Canis lupus familiaris: one gene and its partners. The protein of the gene in region 4 interacts with the protein of the main gene of each other region in a biochemical or structural test. Links are inferred from orthologs where the notes say so. Each region holds a gene or a part of one and is shown on either strand. Other genes may lie near its edges.

Region 1 (4,961 bases), on a different chromosome or scaffold from region 4:
ATCCAGAGAAAGGAGAGATCACTCTATGCTAAGAAGATGTTTGGTAATTCCTTGAACAAAAGGATTTGTGATAAACTGGGGCTACGAGTGTTTACTGACCTGGATCCCTTAAAAGATGTTATGTGATGGCTGGAGACTCACTCTCAGGGGGTTTGTGTGCATCTGTGTATAACTCTCATACCACAGTTCTGAGCCATTCCCTACCTGGCAGGCAGAGTGGTAGAGCTAGGGTCCAGCTGCTGATCTGTGACCCCAGAGTGATGCGCTTTGCTACTGCACCATAGACAGCCAGACTGTGTGCTAAATAAAAACACAAACTAGAGGCATAGAAAAGGAAGGAAGAGGGAGGCCCAGGCACCTCAGCTGCACTGGTTAGTCTTCATCAATATCCCACAATCCTCTGTAAAGTGAGCCAAACCTTTTTGCTGCAGGCTGCCTTCTGCCTCCCCCAGAGCCCTGGGCTGCTGGCAGCCTCTCTCCTGTGATATGGAGGAACTTGTTGGTCTCCATGGTTACAGTAACCCACTGGTACGGGGCGGCGCCGAATGGAGTGTGAGGCTGGCAATGTGAGCTTCCCCCAGCCCTTGGCACCATGTGGTACTGGTATGTCGGCTATTTCTTAGACCTTTTCTGGGAGGAAGGAGTTAAGGAGCCCACGAGGAAGAGAAAAAGCAGGCACACCTTCCTCTTCCTCTGGGCTAAGAGGCCAGAGGCATGGCTGGTTTTAGGTTAGGGAAGAGGGTCCTTTTTGCCTGACAGCCCAGCCATGGTAGAAATTTGACTTTTCCCTGTACTAGCTTCACTCCACTGATGCTTTGAGTCAAGTTCTTAGAGATAATAGCTCTTCTCTGGGCTCAGAGGACCCCTTAATGGGAAGCAGGTTCCTATCTGAAAGAGAAGCAAGATCTTAGGAAACACTGTTGAGACCTTACTGCACGCCGGACACTGCGGTCCACACTGGGGTGCGTTTCTTCCTTTCGTCTTCATGCCGATCTTGTGAAGTGGGTACAGCTGGTGTCCACATATCCCAAATAACGAAACAGGCGCTAAAGAAGTCAAAGAATCTTGGTCGTGCTCAGTGAACTAGTAAGGAGCAAAGGCAAGGCTCTCACCCCAGGGCCGTCTGCTTCCAGAGCTCTGTCGTGCTATCCTGCCTCCCTTACTAAGTAAGCAGAGGTAACTGTGATGCGTCTAATATAATATACAGTTTCCTCCTCTGAGTTTCTAGAAGGCAGAAACCAGATCTCTCTGAACTTTGCAAACTGGCCCTGGCTCCAGAGGTAGGCCCTCAACAAAGGTTTGCTGAATTGGCAACAGTAATTGGGAATTGAGATAGAGACCAGACCCCAGTGAGCAGATTCTTAGGGATGAAATGGTACTAGAAGCTGGTAAAGCTCTGCTTGCTCAGTAGAATCTGTCCTGTTTGAGGAAGAGCCCAGCATTTCAAGTAGCTGCACAGGCCGGAGCTTTGAGAAGTACTTATTGCATTGTGGCTTCCATGCATGAAGGGGAGTGAGCTGGAGGTGCTGGATCGGTTCTGGTCTCACTCCAGGTCAGGTCTTGTCTGCTGGTCCCCCCAGACACATGCTGGCTTCTGCCTTCAGGTGAGGCTTGCAGCTCAAAGAGCTAGCAGGCAGTGAACTACCACTCTTTGGGCTTCAGTTGCCAGCTCTGCAGTTCTCCTCTGTCGGGGAGGAGCACCTGCCCCGGCTACAAAGAGAGAGCAGCGCTCTGACACTTTGACACAGTCCCACCTCCCTTCTGCACCAGGGTATTAAGGGAAGGTGGGTGGGGGGTCCCCCAGGCAGAGCCACCATGGCTAATTTTGAGTGCAGGGAGGTTGCACCCAAGCTCTCTACCAGTTAGTGCTTCCCACAGCCTTACAAGATCTCTCCTACCCACAATGCTCCTCTGGTTTGTTGACTCTTGGCAGTTGAGAGTGACAGTTGCTCAGGATTAAAGGATGCAAAAAGGTCTCCTGGATGCAGTGAAGGAGGAAGGGTTAAAGAACTTGCCACAGCCACATGACTTGTCAGCTCAGCCATACCCATTTCTCCCCAGCCTCTCTGAGGTCAGTGCTTAGTACTTCCTCAGTTTACAAAACCCCTTACTGATTCCCACAAACAGGATTGAGGAAACAATCCTTCTGTTACATTGCAAAACTCTAGGGACTGGAAAAATGAAGCCATTTGATCCTATTCTGGCCTCTGAGCGAAGGGGAAGGTGATCACAGACAGTCCTGAGCCCAGGGTCTGGAATAAGCTTTCAGCTCTTGCACTGAGATGGGGGCCCACTTTGGAGAGAGATAGAGGAGCAGGACGTGCTGTGGGACCTCCCGGTTATGTCCTCACAACAGCCCTACATGTAGGCCTGAGCCAGACACCAGGCATTCCTGTTGCCCTAGGCATCTCCCCACTCCCCCACCCTGCTCCCCTCTCCACTTCCTTATCTTCTTTGGGAGGGTGGGTACCAGCAAAGGAGGCCTCAAGGAACAGCAGAGTGCTGACCTGGACTTGAAAGCCCTGGGCTCCGATCCCAGTTCTGTGATTCAGTTTCTTATGTGTAATATTAGGGTGCTCCCTGCAGGTGTGGAGAACATAGGAAATACGGGGCTGCAGAAGGTAGTGTCAGGAACGTCCAATCTGTTGATCAGGGCTCCTGTGTAAGATGAATACTGAGTAGCATGGTCTCCCTAGTATCCGTGCTCAGGTGGTGGGAGGGCACACAGGACGTTTTGCCCTTCCCTAGATGGGTTGATGGCCTACCAACGTGAGACCTTTCAGGAGTTGCTTAGTGGTGGGACGCCTGGGTGGCTCAGCGGTTGAGCATCTGCCTTTGGCTCAGGGTGTGATCCCGGGGTTTGGGATTGAGTCCTGCATCAGGCTCCTTGCATGAGAGCCTGCTTCTGCCTATGTCTCTGCGTCTCTCTGTGTGTGTGTCTCATGAATAAGTGAATAAAATCTTAAAAAAAAAAAAAAAAAAAAAGTTGCTTAGTGGGAAACATCATAGCCTGGAGAAATAGGATGAAGTCAAAGTAAATCTGGGAGCCAGAAGAAAGGCATGACCGGCACACAGAACTCAGACGAGGGAGGGCTCCAGTAGCCCCAAATTAGCAGATGCCCAGACAGGAAAGCTTTGCAGGAGGAAGGCATGAGGACCAGCATCCCTGCTGGCCCCGGCCCTCAGAGTTCTTAAAGCAGTGATGTGGGAGGGGGAGTGATGGAGACTGCTTGGAGGTTGGACAAGAACCAAGGGTTGGCCTCCCAGAATCAGGGCCGGAAGGGACTTAGAGGGACATTTGTTTGGTTTCCCATCTTTAGGGTGAGTTTTAGGATTAAATGTCTCATTCTGTGGTGACCAGAGTTTTTAGTCTAGAACCCATTGACCTCTAAAGGGTTCCTGACTTCCCTGAAGTTATGTCCCCAATATTTTGTGTATAAGTGGAATGTGCGTTTTTCTAAGTTAAACACTGCTTTTTGTGAGGCAGGAGGTCCATCTGCCACTGTTGGATTGCTGGTTTCTGTTTAACCCCTGCCTTGTTCTCAGGTGGTTTGCTGGTCTTTGGCAAGGGTTAGCAGGCCTGATTCACACATACTCCTCCCAGCCAATTGGAGCCCCTACCCAGGTCCCACCTGCTGCAGGTGAGATAAGGACTTTATGACAGCCCTGTCTCCTCACCCTCTCCCAGCTGTTACCCAGCAAAGCACCTTTGGGAGGGTGGGGCAGCCCACTTCCGGAGAGGGGGAGGGAAAAGGAAGTTGATCTTAAACCCGCCTCTCTCTTTCTTTCTCTCTCTCCCTCTCTCTCTCCCTCTCCTTCTCCCTCTCCCCCCTCCCCACTGCCTCCTGTCCCTTTCCTCCCACCTCACTCCTGTAGTGTCCTGGGACCGCATGCACTTTCTGGCCACCAGGCCCTGGCCTGTGGGAAGCCGTGGGGCTTTTTTGTCCCTGTCGGTCTCCTTGCCAAGCCTGGTCTCTCTCTGCTAGTGGTGGTTTCGGTTGCGACACAGTCCAGGTTCCCAGGCAGGAGCCTCTCGGGCCTGGCTGCTTCACTGTTTTTCACTGAGGAGGTGGTGGAAGGTGTCGCCTGCTTCGGCTGAGTAAGGGTGGCTGGCAGAGCCGGCAGCCCCCGCCCTGGGCCTGGCTCTTCCTGGCCTCTGTACTTTGCCCTCGCTGCCTGACAGGTTCTGCTGTGGGCTCTGCTGAATGGAAGTTGCTGGTAGTCCTTGCCCCTTTCTCCAGCCGGGTATGTTTTCCCCTTTTCTGCTGTGAGATTGCCCCTTCCTCTTAACCACCCAAACACAGGATCTTTAAAGAAGTGCTAAATGGAGCCAGGCGCTAGCACAGGTAGTAAAATTCATGGAAAGAGGCACTGGCTGGGAAAGGAAGAGGGGGCAAATACCGGAAGAAGAGTCTCCATAGGTTGAATCAGCAGTCACACCCAGAGTGGGGGCGGGGGGGACAAATGGAGGCCCAGGGAGGGCGTGCCAGTGCTCCAGTAAGGGGAGACTCGGATCTGGGGTGGCCGCCCGGAGCCAGCACCCGAGGGACCCTGTTCTTCCCACAGTGCCTGGGCTTACTGTGCCTCTGGCTGGGGAGTACCTGCCTGACTCCTCCCAACCCTGGGGAAGTCTCAGGACACTTAAGTCCAGGCCTGAATGCGGAGTCCCACCACACAAGCTTTTCTAGGGGAGAACTGTTAGTAGGAGCCCCCAGCGTTAGGGAAGGAGCCCTACCTACCTGAGTCAGCACTGGGCCTCTGGGGTGGAGGCTGTCTTCCAGGCAAACCTGGCAACACGCCTGAGGCTGAGTTTAGAGATCCTAGGTTGAAGGGCCTGCTGGATAGAAGGCTCTTTCTCTTCTCCCCGGGTCCTATGTTCCATCTCTCTGTTGAGCCTCCAAAGCTGTTCAGGTCCTGCTTCTGAGTCAGGCTTGCTAAGTCACCTGTGTAGTCTGCTGTTG
Region 2 (4,865 bases), on a different chromosome or scaffold from region 4:
GGTGGGGGCGTGCAGAGCCTGAAAGACAGGGGTCCCTGGCCTTAGCCGTTGGAGTCGATCGGGCCGGAGGGGGAGAGCCGGCAGATACCCTTCGACTGAAGGCAGTGGTCGCTGCGGGGGGCGCTCAACGCCCAGCTCTCCTCCTCCCCAAACTGGGGGGGGTCTCTGTTCCCCCCAATAATCCGGGTTGGGGATGGCCTCTGCCCTCCGTCCTCGGAATTCCGGACGCTGCCCCTCCCCACCCCCCGCTGCATCCACTCTCCAGCCTCGGGGGGCGGGAGGAGGCCGACGCCGGGTCCTCCGTACGCCGCCGCGGGAGCCGGCTCTGGTCGCTGGGACCCGGGGCTAGGGCTCCTCAGCTCCCCGGCTCCCGCTGCTCCGCCCCCTCTTGCGCCTGCGCCTGCGCGGGCGGCGTCCGCTACGCTTATTGCGCAGAGTCTGGCCCCACCAGCTCCGCAGCTTCGCGCCGGAGCCGTGCGAGAGTTGGCGCAAGGTGCGCTGCCGGCGGGCGCCAGGGGTTACTGGAGGCAGGCGGAGGCCGAGACGCCCGGGCTGAACCGCATCCGGGTGGGCTGTGCCCGCGGCCACCTGCCCCCGTTCGTTTGCGGGGCCGCCAGTTCCCATGCTTCTCTTCCCTATCCCCAAATTGAGATCGCGCCGCCCGGCGGAGGGGCGGCGACAACCTCCCCGCACCGGCTTCCGAAGGAAACTTCCGCCCGCAGCCAAGATGGCCCCCGGGCCCCGCCCCCTGGGCTTCGCCCGCAGGGCCCCGCAGTCCCGGGGAGGCACGGCCGCCCCACGCCCCGGCCCGCTGCGGTTCCCGCTCACCTGGCCGGCCTTGTGCCTGCGCGAAGCCCCCTTAAGTCCTACGGCCACCCTCAGCGGGGCCCCCTCTCCCGCGCCGGGACAGCCATCCTGCCGGGGAGGAGGCTTCCTCGCTTATCTCGAGCGCTCCTGAGCCGGCGCGCGGAGTAGTGCGCCCGAGGCGTGCGGCGCGAGGTTTCCACTGTGGGGAGGAGGGAGCGGGACTTCCCGACCCGACTCCCCCGTCCACACGGAGCAGTGACAGCAGCAACACCTGCATCCGACGGCTGAGCTTCAGCTTCAGCTTTGCAAAGTGCTTTCACCCACAGTAATCGCCACTCGGTTTACAGAGTTCACTGGCCTCTAAGGGAGATGTCATCATCCCCATTTTACAGGAGTGGAGACTAAGGCCCAAAGGGGCTGAAGGGCTTGTCAGCAGAAGCTGGTCTCCAGGTTCCAAGAGGAGACCCCAGAGAATCCCTCATCTGCTCCCGCGCAGGACCCAGGCACAAGGAAGTCAGGAACCGAGCGGCGGGGAGAAGAGGAAGGGACCCGGGACGACGGCAGTGGGCTGGGCGCAGGTCCGCCGCGGGGGCGGGGTCTGGGCCAGGGGCGGCCACGCCCCCTGGCCCGCCTTAGTGACGTGTCACCAGCTGATTGGGCCCTCTCGGTGACAGTTCCCGTTACCCAGGCAACTAGGGCCGGACTCCCTCAGTACTAGAGGGAGGCGGCAGGCCCGGGTCAGGGGCCTCGAGATCGGGCTTGGGGTAAGACTTGTGTGCCGTCACCGAGGACAGGTTGGGCCAGGGCCTAGGTAGGGACCTGGAACCGCTTCACAGCTCCGGGGCTCCACAAGAGGAGATTTAGGTAGACAGGCTGAGCGACCTGCCCAGCTAGCCTCAGTGGACAAACGGGGGCCCGGGAGGCAGAGTGAACCTGGGGTTCTAAGGTGGGCATCTGCTGCCCTCTCCCTTCACTAGCCACCATTTACCCCAGCTGTGCCCTAACTACCTGCTGTCTTGCCCCCACAGCCCAGAGCATGTTCCAGATCCCAGAGTTTGAGCCCAGTGAGCAGGAAGACTCCAGCCCTGCAAATAGGGGCTTGGGCCCCAGCCCCACAGGGGACCGGCCCCCAAGCCCTGGCAAGCACCAGCAGACGGCCCCAGGCCTCCTAGGGGAAGCTGGTCACCAGCAGGGGCAGCCAGCCAGCCGCAAACACCATGGAGGTAGGTACCTGCCTGGCCACCTTGCCCTGCCCCAACAGCTCCCTGCATCCTAGCTGCATCCCCACTCGCTGGCCTTGAGTAAGTCCCTAACCTCTCTGCACCTCAGTTTCCTCTTCTGTAAACCAGAGCAATTAATCACCACCATTGTAGGGCTGTTGGGATGATTAGTAGAACTATATAGGAAGCAATTATAGGGCCCGTGTGTAGTAAATGCTCAAAGAATGTAGCTGTTAGCATAGGACCAGAACACAAATCACCTAGAGACAACCAGTCAGCCAGAAAGGGGAAATGACTTGCCTAAGGTCACACTTGGTTGGCATTACCTTTGGTAGGAACCAGGGCTGGAAGACTCCAAGGTGCCCTGCCCCCGGCTTTGCACCTTCCCTGAAATTGGACCTTAGCCCCAGGTATGTATTTTCTTGCCCTGTGGCACACACCCATACTGGGACTATCCTTGCCAGTTGCCAGGGGTAAATGACTCCAAGGATAGCCCTTCCAGGAAGCGGGCCTGTCCACATCCACTGAAGGAACCCAGTGCTAAGATGGAAGGATGGGCACAGAGTGTGGTGGCCATTTCTCACCAGTGCCCACCTCCCCAGTGCCCAACACAGGTTTGGGCGCCTGGAACCACCATAGAGGTCTGGTGTGAACAAAACTTGTATCCCTGATCTCCTGAAATCTGAATGACCCCATCCATCCCCACCTTCAGGAATAGGAAGGCTTACCGGGTCTTCCTCCCCAGCCCCCCCCAGCCCCCCCAGCCCCCCCCCCAACTTTGTCAGACTGAACTCCAGATTTTCTTTACCTCCTTTAACATCCAGATCTTTGCACTTGCTGTTTTTCTGCTCACTACAGGTTTCTACCCCCCACCTCCCTGTTCCTCTTCATCCTCCATATCAAGTGCTTAGTTTGTGCCACATGCTGTCCCAGCTGCCAGGGGTACACCAGTGAACAAAAAAGATAAAAGCCCTTGCCCTTGTGGTGCCTACATTCTAGTTAAGTGAGAGAGTGAGAAGAGACAAGCCATAAACAAACAAATGCCATAATGTGTTAGAAGATGACAGGCGTTGGGTGGCAGTGCCAGAAACATTGACTTTCTCTTTGAAATCCAGAGTATTGGGAGCTGGAGGAGACTCTAACGGGTGGTCAGGGTCAGCCTTGGCAGGAAGCAATATTACAGCAAAGCTTGGAAGGGGTGAGGGGTGAGCCCCGTCCATATCATTGGAAAAAGACAGATCCTGGCCTAGGGAAGGGCAAATGCAAAGGCCCTGAGGGGAGGACACGGTCTAGGCCCCTGGGGGGAGGAGAGTTTGGAAGTGGAGGGAGGGATAGATGGGAGGGGGGAGGAGCCCCTGGGCAGGGCCTGGAAGGCCAGTGTCAGGGTGTTGGCTTTCACTCTGAGTGGAAACACATGGGACAGCTTTGAGCAGAGGCAAGGGTGGTCTGATTTGGGGTCAAGAGAATCACCAGGGCCCCAGAGTTAAGACTAGTCTGCAATGGGCAAAAGCAGCCATGGGGCTGCAGGAGAGGCAGCCCCAAGAGTCCCAGTGAGGAAGGATGGTGGCTTGCACCTGGTGGTGGCCGTGGGGTTGGTAAATAGCTGGACTCTGGGTTTATTTTGAAGGTAGAACTGGCAGGATCTGCCAACGAACTGGATGTTGGGGGCAGGGGTGGAAAAGACAGGAGCCAGGGATTGCTGCAAGGAATCTGGCCTGGGCACCTGAAGGACGGAACTATGGCAGAACTGTTTGGGCCAGGGCAGGTGAGAGGTGCCTTTTGGGCAGCCAGATGGAGGTTTCTAGTAGGCATAGGTCCAGGTGGGATTTATACACATGGGAGTTTTCAATCACTGAGGTAATGTTCTCTGAGGCCCGGGGAGCCAGCATAGACAGGCCAGCAACAGAGGAAGAGGCAGCATTGAGGACTGAGAAAGAATTAGCAGGATTGGAGGGAAACCAGGAGCAGGCAGGGCCTGGGCAGCAAGGGGGAATAGTCTGGCTGGAGGGGGACTGGGAGCAGAGCCCTGGAACCACCAAGACGGGGCTGTTGCAGTTTGGGTGGGGAGGTTGAGGGAAGGCTGAGCTCAGTTCAGTGGGGAGGGATGACAGGAAGAGAAGTGGAGGCAGAAAGGAGAGCCCAATCTTGGCAGCTGTGTTCCAGAAAAGGGAGCAGAGAAATGGGCAGCACCTGAAGGCCCAAGGAGGCTCCAGGAAGGGTTGTTTAATTTTTTTTTTTAAAGATTGTATTCATTTATTCATGAGAGACACAGAGAGAGAGGCAGAGACATAGGCAGAGGGAAAAGCAGGGAGCCCGATGTGGAACTGGATCCCGGGACTCAAGGATCACGCCCTGAGCCAAAGGCAGATACTCAACTGCTGAAACAACGAGATGTCCTGAGTTGTTTAATTTTTAATTTTTTTTTTAATTTTAGAAGGGAGAAAGAAAACAGCCCGTCTATAAGCTGATGGGAGTAATCCAGGAGCCAGGAAACTACCCAATGAGGCAGGAGAGAAGGGAGACTAGCTAGAGAGATGTCTTTGAGTAGGGGAGGGGTCTGGTGCCTGGGGAGGGCTAGCTCAGCTAAACGCCGGAAGGTGGACATAGCTGCGTGGTCTTGGGTAGATACTTTATGGGAAGTAGTAGAAGTTTCTCTTGTGGGTGCTTCCGGGTTCTCCAGGAGAGGGTTGAAGGAGAAAGGATCAGGTTTGAAGTAGTCGAGCATCCCCAAACATAGAGCATGTGAAGTGTACTGGGCAATGTCAAGGGTGCAACTGGGTTTTATGGTCTTTCTTTTCTTTCTTTTTTTCTTTTCTTTTCTTTTCTTTTTTTTCTTTC
Region 3 (4,761 bases), on a different chromosome or scaffold from region 4:
TCATAATCACCAGACACCCAAAATATACGATTTAAATAAGCAGATAAGCAGAACGTGTGCTCTATGCATGCTGTCTACAGACAAGTGCTCTTGCAGCTCCATCACTTTTATAAAACCATTCAATCTAGGATCTGTCACTGATGCAGGAGTTACAAAAATAAATATGGCCACCCACAGGGCGCCTGAGTGGCTTAGCCGGTTAAGTGTCTGCCTTCTGCTCTGGTTGCTCTGGTGGGACCCAGGTACAGGGATGGAGATCCGCATCAGGCTCCGGCTCTGCCGGGAGCCTTGCTTCTCTCTCTCTCTCTCTCTTTGTCAAATAAATAAAAATAAAAATCTTAAAATATATATATATATATATGGTCACCTATAAAATGGGAACAATTTCTCCCCCTCAGGGTTGTAAGGATTAAATGAATTAATACAGATAAAGCACTTGGAACAGTGTCTGTCACATAAATACTATATGTATTATGTATTTATGTATTACGTATTTATTGTATTTATGTTGTTGCTGTCTAGGAGCTCCCAATAGGGTAAGGGTAGAAACGAAGGAAATGGTTCTGAAAAAGTATGGTATGAGCTTAAAACGGAAGTGAGCAATGAATGTGGAGTCCAGCAGCCTGCAGTGCAGGGCTCGAGTCTTGTGTGTCCGTGGCTAGCACTGCAGGAGCCTTAAGCGCTTCGTTGTTGGGGCCTAGAGGTCACAGAGCCCAGTCGTTGGGTCATTCGGTTCCTACTCTTCTTACAAAAATTGGGGCCTGGAGGCCCGGGAGGAAGGGAGAAGGGGCCTACAGTACCGCACGGTTATAGGTCGAGCCACGGCTGGACCCCGAGTGGGCAGGACAGCTCTCTCCAGCCTGCGCGTCCCCTCCGCGTGTGGACCTCAGGGAAGGGGGTGGCTACGCAGTCGTGGCCCTCCGCGGGTAGGAGGTTCCCGGGCCACGGTGCGGGTTGGGAACTACGCTCCCCAGCATGCAACGCGGCAAGAGAGGCGTCTCGGTCTCTACCCTCGCCTCCCAGGTTCTGCTGGGAGTTTTCATTGACCTCTGAGCCCCTATCCATTCGGATCTGCTCTGGCCTCCTCTCGGCCCCGCCCCTTTCAGAAAGCGGATGACCCCTCAGAGCCCCGCGAGCTGCTTCCTTCTTCCCCTCTCATTGGTCCAGCGTAGCTGCCTTTCGGGAGCGAGGAGGCGAAGTTGCTTACTGATTGGTGGATTCCGTTTGGCGCCAACTAGGAAAGGGGGGCGGGGCAGCGGCGGTCCCTAGTGAGCAGCTATTACCGCGAAAGGCCGCCTCGGCAGCGACAGTCCGGAAGAGAGGTGAGACTCCTCTTGGTGCTCTGCGACCCCGGGTTCGGGCAAGGGGGTGAGAGAAAAGTGAAGAGAGTGTGAGCCCTGGCCGTTGCCTTGCGGCCCTGGCCGCTTTCTCTTCCCGACCCGACGCGTTTGTTTGGATTTAATCCTCAGGTTGCCGGCGCCCGCCCGCCCGCTGGCCTCGCGGGGTGCGGGGGAAGCACCCGTGCATGTGCCTGGCGCCTGCTGGGTTTAGACACCCGCCCGTCCGCGCCGCTTGCCCGCGGCAGCCGCATCCCTGAACCGCGGGGTCGTGTTTGTGTTTGACCCGCGGGCGCCCGCGGCGGGGCGCGCGGCCGAGGCCGGTGCCGGCGGGGCGGGGCGGCGCGGCGGAGGCGGAGGAAGAGGGAGCGGGAGCCCTGGGAGGCCGGGTGCCGCCATGGAACTGGGCCCAGAGCCCCCGCACCGCCGCCGCCTGCTCTTCGCCTGCAGCCCGCCTCCCGCGCCGCAGCCCGTCGTGAAAGCGCTGTTCGGCGCGCCAGCCTCGGGGGGCCTGTCGCCTGTCACCAGCCTGACGGTCACCATGGACCAGCTGCAGGGACTAGGCAGGTGAGGAGGGACTGGCGAGCGGTGCCACAGGCCGCTGGGCTCCCAGATGGCTCTCGGTGGGGCGGGGGCGGGATCTGGCTGGGAAACGGGTCCGGAGCGGGGCGAGACCTGCCCGCCGCTCGTGGGCCGCCCCGCTGAGCAGGGGCCCGCCATGTGCACCCTCCCCCCCAGGCGGAATGTTGGGCGGGAGAGGCCGTTCGGACCCTCCAGGGCCGCCCTCAGCCCCGAGCCGGGCCCGGTAGGGGGTGGGGTCGGCCCGGGGTCCCCACTTAGGCTACCCATTTCAGATTGCTTTGTACTCTCCTTCTGTCCCAATCCAGGGAAGTTCTTTGTAATCTCCCCCCAAGAGGGCAAAGCAGACCCTTCAGGCGCCTCACTTCCACCCTTTCCTGAACCACTTCGCAGGATCTTAGCTTCCTGCGAGCTTTGTTCCTTCTCTACAGAGACACATGGCATTTTCTTTCCTGTCGTTTGTGCAAAATCCTCTTCGTTCCTCACCACGTGCACATTCCTGATGTCCACCCCTGCTTTCCTAAGGCAAGGCCTTTTTATTCAACTCTCCATCCTCAGAAGCTCCCTGGACTTTTCCTTCTAGCAAAACCTGCATCACGGTGTTTCTGGTGGGGTTGCTTTCCCTTCGATTTTGGATGTCCCATTTTCTTTGTAAGCACATGTCTTGTACATTTCTAACCTCTGAAAAGCAGGAACTTGTCCAATTTATCTTTCATCCTAGGAGCTAGAACACATGCTCTCCCTTCAGAAAATACTCCAGCATCATAGTCCTCTTGCCTACAGTGTAACCCAGGCCATGCCTTCCCACCACTTTTGCATCTTTTATTTTCAAGTGCTGAGTGTTTTGGGTGGCAAAGTGGGTTCTGTGATGTGGCCCAGAAGTAGATGATTGATAGCAGCCTGGATACTTGCCTAACCTCGTGGCCTGTCTCCTGTGTGTACTTGTAGTTATGTTTTGGAAATAGAAAGAGGGGCAGCTGGGTGGCTCAGTGCTTGAGGTGCTCTGCCTTTGGCTCAGGTTGTAATCCTGGGGTCCTTGGATCCATCCACATCAGGCTCCTCCCTACAGGGATCCTGCTTCTCCCTCTGCCTGTGTCTTTGCCTCTCTCTCTCTCTGTCTCTCATGAATAAATAAATAAAATCTTTTTAAAAAATACATAGGGATCCCTGGGTGGCGCAGCGGTTTGGCGCCTGCCTTTGGCCCAGGGCGCAATCCTGGAGACCCGGGATCGAATCCCACGTCGGGCTCCCTGGTGCATGGAGCCTGCTTCTCCCTCTGCCTGTGTCTCTGCCTCTCTCTCTCTCTCTCTCTCTCTCTCTCTCTGTGACTATGATAAAAAAAAAAAAATTACATAGAGTTCTTTCTCTTGCTTTCAGTGAATATGAACAGGCGCTGGAGGTGAGAAACAGCAGTCTGCAGAGAATGGGCTCTTCTGAGTCAACCGATTCAGGTATTCCTTTAGTCTCTACCATTTATTATGTGTTTACTGTGTGAGGATCAAAACTTGGAATGTGTTGTGAACGTGTGCCCCACCTAGGAACTTAGTCTGGTGACTACCTGAGACAGTAAATCAGAGTCATGGCATTCAGTAACCAATACCCTTAAAATAGGCCAGATAAGGCCCTATGGTAGTTTATGGAGGAAACCAGCGTCAAGTGTCTGCATGGAGGTAGAGTGTGCTTGATCTTGAGGATGAGTAGGTGGGTACAATGAACCATAACACCAAGACCAGAAAGGTGTATTGGTTGAAATGCAGGGCCAAATTATTGAAAGTGTGATGACATTGTTTCAGTGAGCCTGCGGTGGAGGAGATGGGCCCAGTGCATTTTACTCTAATTCACAACTTCATGCTACTGCAGGGTTTATATTTGCACAGATGCTTTAGGCTAGGGAACTACAAGAGCAAAGATCTTAAAATGGAAACTTCTTAAGAACTAGGGATAGGATTCTTGTGGCAGCATGGCAAATGAGAATATCAGAGCTAACACTTGACTTTCTGCAAAGTTATGTGGATCTCATGAGGAGAGGTGTGCAGTAGGCACACTCGTGGGTCTGGGCCATACTGAGAGCAGTGTGTCTTCCACCTTGCTCCCTTTGGTGAGATGAGCACCTTACTTGGTGTTATTTTGTTAAAGGCCATGAATACTTGGCTTGTTTGTCACATGACTGATAAATGTATTTTTCAAAACCCCCAAATTAAAAAAAAAGAAAAAACCCAAATTACACATATGATCTGACAAGATAAAATATTTGAAGTCAAAACTATTCCAGAAAACAGTTACCTATTCTTTCCATAGTCAGAACTCACAGAAAGTTACCTGGGTAATCTCTATTTGAATAACCAACCATTCATTAGAAGATTATGTTTAATTCTCACATCCTGTTCCCTTGATGGTATTTGCAAATAGGTAAAGGGGATTGGTAGAAGATATACTATGAAAATGTTGAGACTTGTGCAAATATGAAGTTTTTGACAATTAGAGACACCACTTTAATTCTGGCAAAAGTCCAAGGTGTGAGTTGATTGATGGCTTAAAGAAAATACTAATAGTATTTTTGTTTATTTAATGACAAAGTGGTGTTTTGTGTATTATTTCCTGAGGTTTTTTTTATTTCCACAGGCTTCTGTCTAGATTCTCCTGGGCCCTTGGACAGTAAAGAAAAGTACGTATTCACTGCTTTTTAAAGTTTGTGCTTAGAAAAGACTTTTCTTAATTTTTTATTGAAATTCTTTGTGTTCTGGACAGGAGCCCTGGATTTAGCTAACCCTAGTAAAACTTCTGGATCCTATAAATAAGTCTGCCTTTAGAGAAAGTAGTTTGTGTTAGTAGTCTTTAAGACTTC
Region 4 (4,239 bases):
ATGAGAGAGACACAGAGAGAGGCAGAGACACAGGCAGAGGGAGATGCAGGCTCCCTGCAGGGAGCCCGATGTGGGACCCCATCCCAGGACCCCAGGATCACGACATGAGCCAAAGGCAGAAGCTCAACCACTGAGCCACCTATAATACTTTTTTATTACAAAAAGATTTTTACGTACCATCAAGTAAAATTGATAGTTCAAGAAGATCTCTATCCTATTTGTCTTCTGTGACTTTTTTTTTTTTTTTTAAGAAGATTTTCTTTTTAAGTAATATCTACACCCAGTGCAGGGGCTGGAACTCAAAACCCTGAGTTCAAGAGTTGCATGCCCCACTGAGCCAGCCAGACACCCCCTCTTCTGTGACTTTTTATTCTTGTGGCACATCTTGTATAAATCCCTCAGTTTGAGAAGCGCTACTAGCTCATTGGATCCAAGGGTACATTTCTTTGAATAAAATAGGGAATGAAGTCGTACTTAGTTACTAACCCAATATTTTTTCAAATAATTCTATTCAGTAGACATGACTGTCATTGTTTCTAAAGTACTTTCTCTTGATCCCTGTATTTACCCTTATTTTGGATGAGCAGTAGTCTGTAAGAGACACTGAACAGCCAGCCCTGCTCTGAGCCATGCTGACTTACTTGTTCTGTGATTATATTCTTCATACTTGATGTCTTAAACATTTTGTTTCCCTTCTTTAAAATGATTGTGCCTGGCTGGCTCAGTCAGTAGAGCACGTGACTCTTGATTTGGGGGTTATGAGTTTGAGGCCCACGTTGAGTGCAGAGATAACTTATACACACACAAACACACAAACATGTAAAACTAAAAAAAAGCTGATTGCACATGCACATTTCTGAACTGATACATTCCTACTGTTCCTTCTTAACAAGTCAGAAATATCCCTTCAGGGAAATCCTGTTTAGCTAGTGGCCACCTCTAGCACAGCCAGATGCTCTCTCTGTGGTGCTACTATCCTAGATAAAGGATAAACAAGATAATGTTTCTGTATCTTACTTAAGACTGTGAGCTCCTTGAGGGCAAGAACTTTGTGTTTTCTTTATATCCCCTCTGGCCAAATACAGTGCCTGGCACCCAGCCAGTACCAAGAAATGCTTACTTGAATGAATGGATGAGTGAATAGACAAGCTCTTTATATTTAGTGTTTGATGTAACCTAGCTTTATTAGAAACTATGACTTGCTATAGGCCAAAGCATTCAACTGATGACAACTACATGACCCCTGCTCTCAGTCCATGCTTCAAGTCCAAGGTGGAATGGTTGTAGTTACTGTGGTAGTCCTTCATTGTGCTTACCTGTAATAAAATAGCTTTTTATTGGTACCTAATACTTTATCTTCCTTCTTTTCAGGAATTGTTGGATAAGTATTTAATAGCCAACGCAACTAATCCAGAGAGTAAGGTCTTCTATCTGAAAATGAAGGGAGATTATTTTCGGTACCTTGCTGAAGTTGCGTGTGGTGATGATCGAAAACGTAAGTATGTTTGGTTTATAGGTAAAGTTAAAAAAGGAAGGGAGGATAAGTGGGACACTGTGACAGTAGTCGCTATGTAATCTCCAGGTCCTCTGTAACTTTTTAAAAAATCTTGGAATCTACATACGATAAAATTAATGTAATGTGACCTTAATGTTCTAAAAAATGAAAATAGCCATGAATTTACATAATGTACTGTTTTTGAAAAATTAAACTCAAATTCTGGTGATAATCTGCTAAGATATTATTTAAAAGGCTTAATCTTGGGCGCCTGGGTGGCTCAGTCATTCAGCTTCCTACTCTTGATCTCAGCTCAGATCTGGATCTTTACAGTTGTGAGTTCAGGTCCTATGCTGGGCTCCACACTCAGTGTGAAAAATAATAATAATAAAGAAAAAATAAGAGAGGCTTATTATTACTCTTTTATACTTTAGAGTTTGGTGAAGCATATTTTTTAGCCCCCTAGTTATTTGCATATGCTTTGAGAGTTTGTGCTGTTACATGGCCTTTTGTGTCATCGTACCTTGAAACTTACTGGAAATTACAAAGAGAATATAGAAACAGCATGTTATGCTTTTTCTGTTTGACAATTTATTAACTACCTATTTTGAAGGATCATTACATTGACTACCAATACTTACAAGACCAAATTTCTGAGGAAGAGAGGTGAGTGAGAGTTTTGCTGGTATATAGTTTGTCATAGAAAATATAGATCTGGGAAAGAGAATAAATGAATTGCTAGAGTTGATTGTAAAAAGAAAATCAAAGCAATTTATTACTAGTGGACTTAGCCTCCTGGAGTATTAGTAGCTGAGTACAAGTCAGGTCCTATTAAATTTTGTGTATGTGCCTGCTATCATATTTATCAAATTCTAGTTAGAATTTTCACCCAATTCCTTATTTCTGGTAGGTTTATTAATTTGTTTTTAATTTTGCCCCATCCAAAAAGAGTGTACTTTTTCAAGTAGTTACTGTGGCTTCCTACCCTCAAAGAGGTACTAACTGAAAGTGGAACAGTTTTACCACCCCAAATATCAGTGTAATTGAAGATACAAAGAGAAAACTATTGCATCCTACTGTAACAATTTGTATACTAAACTTATTGATGTATAATTTCTGTTGTCATAAAGATAAGCAAAGCTGAAAGTAACAGATATTTGCAAGTCACAAGGATATCTTTGGGAGACTGGGACATAGCCCCAGCATTAATCTTATTTAACCCTTTCTAGCTTCCTGGCATTTCTATCCCTATCCATAGAATACTCCGGTAGACTGGGACTCATAGTCTGTATTTACAGCTTAGGAGCTGAGACCCCTTACTGCTACTCATTACAGTACTTCCTTAAATGCCAAACAGCAAGAACTCCTTACTATGTGAGGGCTCTACCAGCTATATTTAGATTAATAAGTGTGCCATTTCTGAAGAAGGAAAAATCCTTATATTCAGGCCATAAAAAGGTTAACTTTACATTTCTATTAGAGGAGTATTTCTAAAGCTGTAATGGGCCAGTGGTCTCATTGAGAAAACCTACCTACTCTTTTGAAAGCATGGCTATAGTCAGATTAGAATTGGTAACAATCACTGAACAGCTTTTTTCAGGAAGGTAACCTTTTTATTAGGCCAGTAATCAATCTCTTGTCAGAGCAGATTTTATTTTGTATTTTGACACTTTTATATTGCCTTTTACATAATACATCTTGATACCAAGGATTAGTATTGTTTTTACAAATAAGTCACAAAAAAAGAGATTTTGGTGGTATGATCTTTGTAAAGTGTTTTCATGATTTTGAGAAGAGATAGCCAAAAATTTTTTCTAGCTTTATTGAAGTATTATTGACGTGTATCGGTGAAATTATTTTTAATTGCTGCATTTCCAATTAGTAAAATTAAAAGATACGGAAAAAGAAAATTGTTTGAGTCACAGATCTGGAAAAATCCAATTGCACTATCTCATATTGGGTTTTTTAAAGCTGATTATAAGCAAGCAACATGGGACGCCTGGGTAGCTCAGCAGTTGAGCATCTGCCTTCAGCTCAGGGCGTGATCCTGGGTCCAGGGATCAAGTCCCACATTGGGCTCCCTGCAGGGAGCCTGCTTCTCCTTCTTCCTGTGTGTCTGCCTCTTTCTCTGTCTCTCATGAATAAATAAATAAAATCTTTAAAAAAATAAAAAAAGCAACATTATAAACTAGTTTCTCCATAAGCTGGTATGAGGTAATGTTTTCAGTTTGCTACTATGGTTTTAAAGGAAGGCCACAGAGAAAAATCCAGCTCTGCATGAGGTAGTAGCATAAGTTAAAGGTTAATATGCTGTATACTTGATGGATATTTTCAGTATTGTGCTTCTTTTGTCTCTCCCCCCCCCTCACAGAAACGATAGATAATTCCCAAGGAGCTTACCAAGAGGCTTTTGATATAAGCAAGAAAGAGATGCAACCTACACACCCCATTCGCCTGGGGCTGGCTCTTAACTTTTCTGTATTTTACTACGAGATCCTTAATAACCCAGAGCTTGCCTGCACTCTGGCTAAAACAGTAAGTTTCGGGTCATTCTTATATGTTCTTACTCATATTGATAGGGTCATTGTCATAAACTGGGAATCTGAAAATGATTCCATTGAGTTTTATTTTAATTGATAGTAGAACATAAAGTGGATGTTCACCTATTTTATAAAAATGGTTTATAGTTGTAGAGTAATGCAGTTTGTTTTGATGCAAATATCTACCATGGATATTAATATTTA
Region 5 (5,016 bases), on a different chromosome or scaffold from region 4:
GAACTACTTCATAAGTAAGCAAGGAAAACGCCAGTGCACACGGGTAGACCTTATCACACCATCATCCGGAGAGATCCGGAGAGAATAAATGTCAATCTCTTCTAGGGCAGTGCCCGACATAGTGTCACCTGAGATGTTCAAGGCTCCCTTGCTAACCCTGTGAACAAGGGTCTAACAGGAAACTGACTTGATGTCCTGTCCTGGGTCAAAAGCAGAGATCAAGACATACACACGTAGACCAAAGCACAATAAAACGCAACTGAATACAAAAGGAAACATATATATTCGGGTCTGGGGGGGCACATTTGTGCAGCCTAAGGGAATGGACCGGGAGAAGTGGGCTACCTAATTTGGCCAGCCCAACGCAAAGTGAACAATTGTTAAGAATTCCAAGATGGTGGCAGGCAGCAAAACTTGGGGGCAGAGCATCACACAAGGCAGGTCCTTCTGAGGTCTGGGCCCTGTACACCCGCACAGTCACACACGCCTGAGGCCCATCCCGGGGTGGGGGGGGGGGGGGTGGGGGGAGGGTAAGATTAGAATTCATCCCCACAGACTGGGAAGCACTCATCTCCTCACCCCTGTCAAAACAACAGCAGCAGCAGCAGCAGCAGCAGCAGCAACAACAACAACAACAAAGCAACTACCAGAATTGGAGCAGAGAGTGCCCGGCCTTGATGGTGGCGGCGGTGGCGGTGGCGGTGGCGGTGGCGGGCGCTGGGTGAGGCTGCGAGCGCCAGTCCCACGGGGCCGACTTTAGAGCGACGGGACGAGAAGGCAACCAGGGTTTCTGGGGCTCCAGAAGGAGAGGTGCCAGGCCGAGGACGGGGGGAAGAGGCCACATCACACCTTCCCGCTGCCTCTGTGTGGACAATGCCTGTTCTGTCAGGGGACCGTCTCCCGAATTCGGCCACCTGGGTAGGTCTGGCGCCTCGGGAGCTGCGGTGCAGTAGGTGGGGTTGGGGATGGGATGTTCAGGCAGGAAAGGTAGGGACGGGCTTAAATACACTTCCGCGGTCGGGCTCCCTGCCCTCTCGGGCAAGACCCCCGAGGGCTCCCAGGAGGAGGAGGGATGTAGGCGGGCTTCCGAGGACCCTCGGTTCTCACGCTCCCTGGAAGCCTCGAAGGCAGGAAGACCCATGGAAAAGCGCGGGGCGCGGCGTTCTCCCCCCCCCCCCCCCAGGTCACCGCACCCCCAGAAGGGCGCTGGCCCCGGGCGCTCGGAACTGGGGCCAGGGCGCGGGGCCGGGGATGCCGGCGGCGCTGGGAAGCGGGCAGGAGGGATGCGCCTCGTCCTCCCCGTGCGCGGCCGGGCGGCCGGGCCAGCCGAGCCCCGAGCCCCGAGCCCCGAGCCCCGGGCCCCGAGCCCGCACCGGGACGGCGAGGGCCGGGCCACGCCCGCGGAGGCGGCCGCAGGCCCGCAGCTCAGTCCCGCCCGGGCTCGGGGCGGCTCAGGTCCCGGCAGGGATCCCAGGGCGGAGGGGCGGAGGGGCGGAGGGGCGGAGGGGCGGCGACCCGGCGCCCTGCGGCTACTGCGGCCACCGCTCCAGCAGCTCCAGCCGCTCCAGCCGCCCGCCGCCCGCCGGGGCTGTCTCCGCCTCCAGGCCCCCTTGCGCCCCGCCCGGCGCCCGGCCCCGCCGCCCGGCCCCGCCGCCCCGGGCCCCGAGCGCGCCGGCCGGCTGCTCCCCGGCGGCGCCTCCCCCGAGCGGCGCCCTCGCTCCCGGCGGCGCAGTCCTCTCCCGCCTCGGCCATTGCCCCTCCCCCGCGCCCCTCCCGCGCCCCATCCTCTCGCCCTCCCCCCGCGCGGGGACTTTTCCGGAAAGTTTTTATTCTCCGCCTCGGCTCCTGGGGAAAGCGGCTCCCGGCTCCGCGGCAGCAAAACTTTTCGGCCGCCGCTCCGCCGACGCCCGCCCTCGGCCGCCGGCCCCGCGCCCCCGCCCGCGCCCCCGCCCGCGCCCCCGCCCGCGCCCCCGCCCGCGCCCGCCGAGCATGAGCGCCCCTCCGGCCCTGCGGCCGCCCAGCCCGCTGCTGCCCGCGGCGGCGGCGGCGGCGGCGGCGGCGGCGGCCGCGCTGGTGCCGGGGTCCGGGCCGGGGCCCGCGCCCTTCCTGGCTCCCGCCGCGGCCCCGGCCGGGGGCGTCTCGTTCCATCTGCAGATCGGCCTGAGCCGCGAGCCGGTGCTGCTGCTGCAGGACTCGTCCGGGGACTACAGCCTGGCGCACGTCCGCGAGATGGCTTGCTCCATCGTCGACCAGAAGGTAAGGCGCCGCACAGGGGGCGCTGCCCGTCCCGGCGCCCCTCGCCGCGCCGACTTCCCGGCCCGGGGGCCCGGCCGCGAGCCAGCCCCGCCGGCGCCCTGGAAGCTCTGGCAGCGGCCGAGGCCGGACGCCGGCACCCGAGGCGCCGCGGTCCCTGCGGCCGGGTCCCCCCTTGCCCCACCTCTCCGCGCCCCGCCGCCTCCTTACCCATCCGTTCCCGTTCCTCCCAGGACGTTTCCAGGTATGTCGCTTGCCCCGTTTCCTTCAGCGCCTCTCCCTGCTCCCGGCGCCCGGCTCCCCGCCCCCCCCCGCCCCGGGACCCCGGACCCCGGACCCCGGACCCCGGACCCCGGACCGGCACGTTCCTGGCGCCGGGATCCTCCTTCCCCAACCGGAGTTCTCCCCCGGGACACGCTCCCCACGATTCCAGCACCACTCCCCTCCTCTTCAGGCCCCTCTCCCAGCTCAGACCGGTGCTGAGGAGTCCCTGGAACCGTCTAGAGATGAGGAATTTCTCACCTGTCAAATTACCTTTTAAGAGGGGGCTGACTGACTCAGCCAGCTGTGAAAACAACGGGCCGGACCACAACCACTCACCTCCTTGTGGTTCTTTCGTCCGACCTTTGTGTGGACGGGAAAGCACATTTTTCAGCCCCGAGGCACTGATAGTGGGGCACTGAAGTGCAGGCACAGACACATAAAAGGTGGGGGCACTCCCAGGAGCACCCCAGGGCTGGCTGTGCCCTTAAGCTGGAGGCTGTGGGTCTCTGGACAGCGGTCCCAAAAAGGCAGGTTGGAAAAAGGGCCATTACCCCGGGCCAGGCCACCCAGGGAGGAGACACCCCCCCATCCGCCCCCCCCCCCGACGCCCACCACTGTTTATAGGGCTGTTGTGAATTTCAGGTTGTTTCCGTAGCCATCCAGGGTGATGCTGCACGGAAAGAGGCGATAAGAGTGTGAAGGAGAGGAGGCCGTGGCGCCAGGGTTCTCAGTATAAACAGGCAGGGTTAGGGGGGTGGGGACAGAGGTCTCTAAAGGTGCTGAATTTCAGCCCTGGAGGCCTGGCTAGTACTTGCCTTATGAAAGTCACTTAAATAATCATGAATGTTTTCTTTAAGGTATTTGAAGCAGAGCTTGCTAAATCCAAGTGTTGTTGATTGTGGCATCAAGCACAGGGATACAGGGAAAAGCCCCAGGGAAGAATCAGTAATCTAGGGAGTTTGTAAAAGTTCTGAAGGCTCAGCCAAGGCAGTAGTGAGGGTCAAACGTTTTTAGGTTATTGAATGTGGTGACATTTTCTATTGCATATGACTCTCCATCTCTTTCACCTTCCATGTAAATGACAAATTCTCTTGAATTCTAGTATAAGGCCCATCATGTGCCTCCTCATCAATATTATGAAATATTTGTTGCAGGTGAACGTGAACGCTTTCCTAGGCACCGAAACGTGTTCCCTGAGTGGAAATTGCCTACAAATCTCTATTAGGGTGCAAAACCAGTTGATTAAAGAGTATTACTGGATAAGTGTAAATACAGTGTATAGTAAAGTTTCTCAAAAAGCAAATGCAGGGGAGCCTGGGTGGCTCAGCAGTTTAGCACCGTCTTCAGCCCAGAGCGTGATCCTGGAGACCCGGGATCCAGTCCCACATCGGGCTCCCTGCATGGAGCCTGCTTCTCCCTCTGCCTGTGCCTCTGCCCCCTCCCCCTCTCTCTCTGTGTATCTCATGAATAAATAAAGTCTTGGAAAAAAAAAAAGCTAATGCAATTGTGTAGAATTTTAATGTACCTAAATTCTACAGCAAGTGATAGAGTTACAAGGAATATCCAAATTGAGTTAGATTAATATGGACAGGCTGTTTTTGACCAGCTGAAACACACACACACACACACACACACACACGATCACACCTGTTGATGGAGGTTGGGATGGGGAGAAACATTAGTGGTTCAGGAGTTTTGGGGATTGGGATTTTGAATCGAAAGTGAACTGCAGTTGTCTCAGTAGCTACCAAGAGGGATGTTATATGAAGGGCCCGGTAGAAGTACTGAAGGAGAGAGTCTCCAAGCACCTGCGGATTGCAGTAGGCCTGAGGGTGGTGAGTAGGGTATTTATAGAAAGTACAACTGAAAAGATCTCAAATTATTAGAAGACTCAGTAATCTTCCATATAGAGATATCAAACCAAGAACATCTGAAAGATGGATTTGCTCTGTGGGAAGATGTTTTTGAATGCCAAAAATGTTATGGTAGAAAGAAAACGAGTTCAGTCATGAGCTACTTGAGACCTGAACCAACACTCTGGGGAGAGACCTGGAAAAGTACTGAAAAGGGAAAATCCTCAGCCTTGGTGGCTGATTTATAATGAGGAACCCCTTCCTTTTGTATTTACCCTTGTTCTCTTTCTGAAAGAAGAGTTTGAGAAGTTTAAAGGCTTGAGGTAGCCAAGGTAAAGAACTATCTCGTAATTTTTTTTTTCTTTAGAGGTTATGACAAAGAATTGGATTTAGAGATGCAGATTTGTGGGTTATTTGTATAAATATTTGCTGGATGGTGGGTCTCGGCAGAAGAATTTCCATCTGTCTGTCTTCTGTCATCTGTCTTGAGATACATTATCACCCGAGGCAGAAACGAGATGAAGAGAACTAAATGTCCATCACAGGATAGCAAGGATCTCTTCTGCTTTGTGAGAGTGGATATGGTGGACAGGGTCAGTAGTACTGAATTAAGGAAACGGGAGGAGGCTTTTGTCCCTTATTTCAG

What was found.
Region 1: the proteins of YWHAQ (region 4) and MARK2 form a complex in vitro, tested with the Homo sapiens proteins (2 studies listed by BioGRID, with this or other methods). The link is inferred for Canis lupus familiaris from reciprocal best matches to the Homo sapiens genes YWHAQ and MARK2.
Region 2: the proteins of YWHAQ (region 4) and BAD form a complex in vitro, tested with the Homo sapiens proteins (2 studies listed by BioGRID). The link is inferred for Canis lupus familiaris from reciprocal best matches to the Homo sapiens genes YWHAQ and BAD.
Region 3: the proteins of YWHAQ (region 4) and CDC25A form a complex in vitro, tested with the Homo sapiens proteins (2 studies listed by BioGRID, with this or other methods). The link is inferred for Canis lupus familiaris from reciprocal best matches to the Homo sapiens genes YWHAQ and CDC25A.
Region 5: the proteins of YWHAQ (region 4) and PRKD1 form a complex in vitro, tested with the Homo sapiens proteins (2 studies listed by BioGRID). The link is inferred for Canis lupus familiaris from reciprocal best matches to the Homo sapiens genes YWHAQ and PRKD1.

Annotation. Positions count from the first base shown.
Region 1 is NC_049239.1:53,629,416-53,634,376, reverse strand, and holds the start of MARK2 (serine/threonine-protein kinase MARK2), read left to right. Parts: upstream 1-1,934; 5' UTR 1,935-1,963; coding exon 1,964-2,071; intron 2,072-3,839; exon of another isoform or gene 3,840-4,245; intron 4,246-4,961. UniProt on the Homo sapiens protein: Serine/threonine-protein kinase. Involved in cell polarity and microtubule dynamics regulation. Phosphorylates CRTC2/TORC2, DCX, HDAC7, KIF13B, MAP2, MAP4 and RAB11FIP2. Phosphorylates the microtubule-associated protein MAPT/TAU.
Region 2 is NC_049239.1:53,287,810-53,292,674, forward strand, and holds the start of BAD (bcl2-associated agonist of cell death), read left to right. Parts: upstream 1-1,838; 5' UTR 1,839-1,843; coding exon 1,844-2,030; intron 2,031-4,865. UniProt on the Homo sapiens protein: Promotes cell death. Successfully competes for the binding to Bcl-X(L), Bcl-2 and Bcl-W, thereby affecting the level of heterodimerization of these proteins with BAX. Can reverse the death repressor activity of Bcl-X(L), but not that of Bcl-2.
Region 3 is NC_049241.1:41,230,228-41,234,988, forward strand, and holds the start of CDC25A (M-phase inducer phosphatase 1), read left to right. Parts: upstream 1-1,734; coding exon 1,735-1,904; intron 1,905-3,293; coding exon 3,294-3,367; intron 3,368-4,538; coding exon 4,539-4,581; intron 4,582-4,761. UniProt on the Homo sapiens protein: Tyrosine protein phosphatase which functions as a dosage-dependent inducer of mitotic progression. Directly dephosphorylates CDK1 and stimulates its kinase activity. Also dephosphorylates CDK2 in complex with cyclin-E, in vitro.
Region 4 is NC_049238.1:6,670,314-6,674,552, reverse strand, and holds part of YWHAQ (14-3-3 protein theta), read left to right. Parts: intron 1-1,371; coding exon 1,372-1,495; intron 1,496-3,866; coding exon 3,867-4,030; intron 4,031-4,239. UniProt on the Homo sapiens protein: Adapter protein implicated in the regulation of a large spectrum of both general and specialized signaling pathways. Binds to a large number of partners, usually by recognition of a phosphoserine or phosphothreonine motif.
Region 5 is NC_049229.1:9,459,677-9,464,692, reverse strand, and holds the start of PRKD1 (serine/threonine-protein kinase D1), read left to right. Parts: upstream 1-1,989; coding exon 1,990-2,256; intron 2,257-5,016.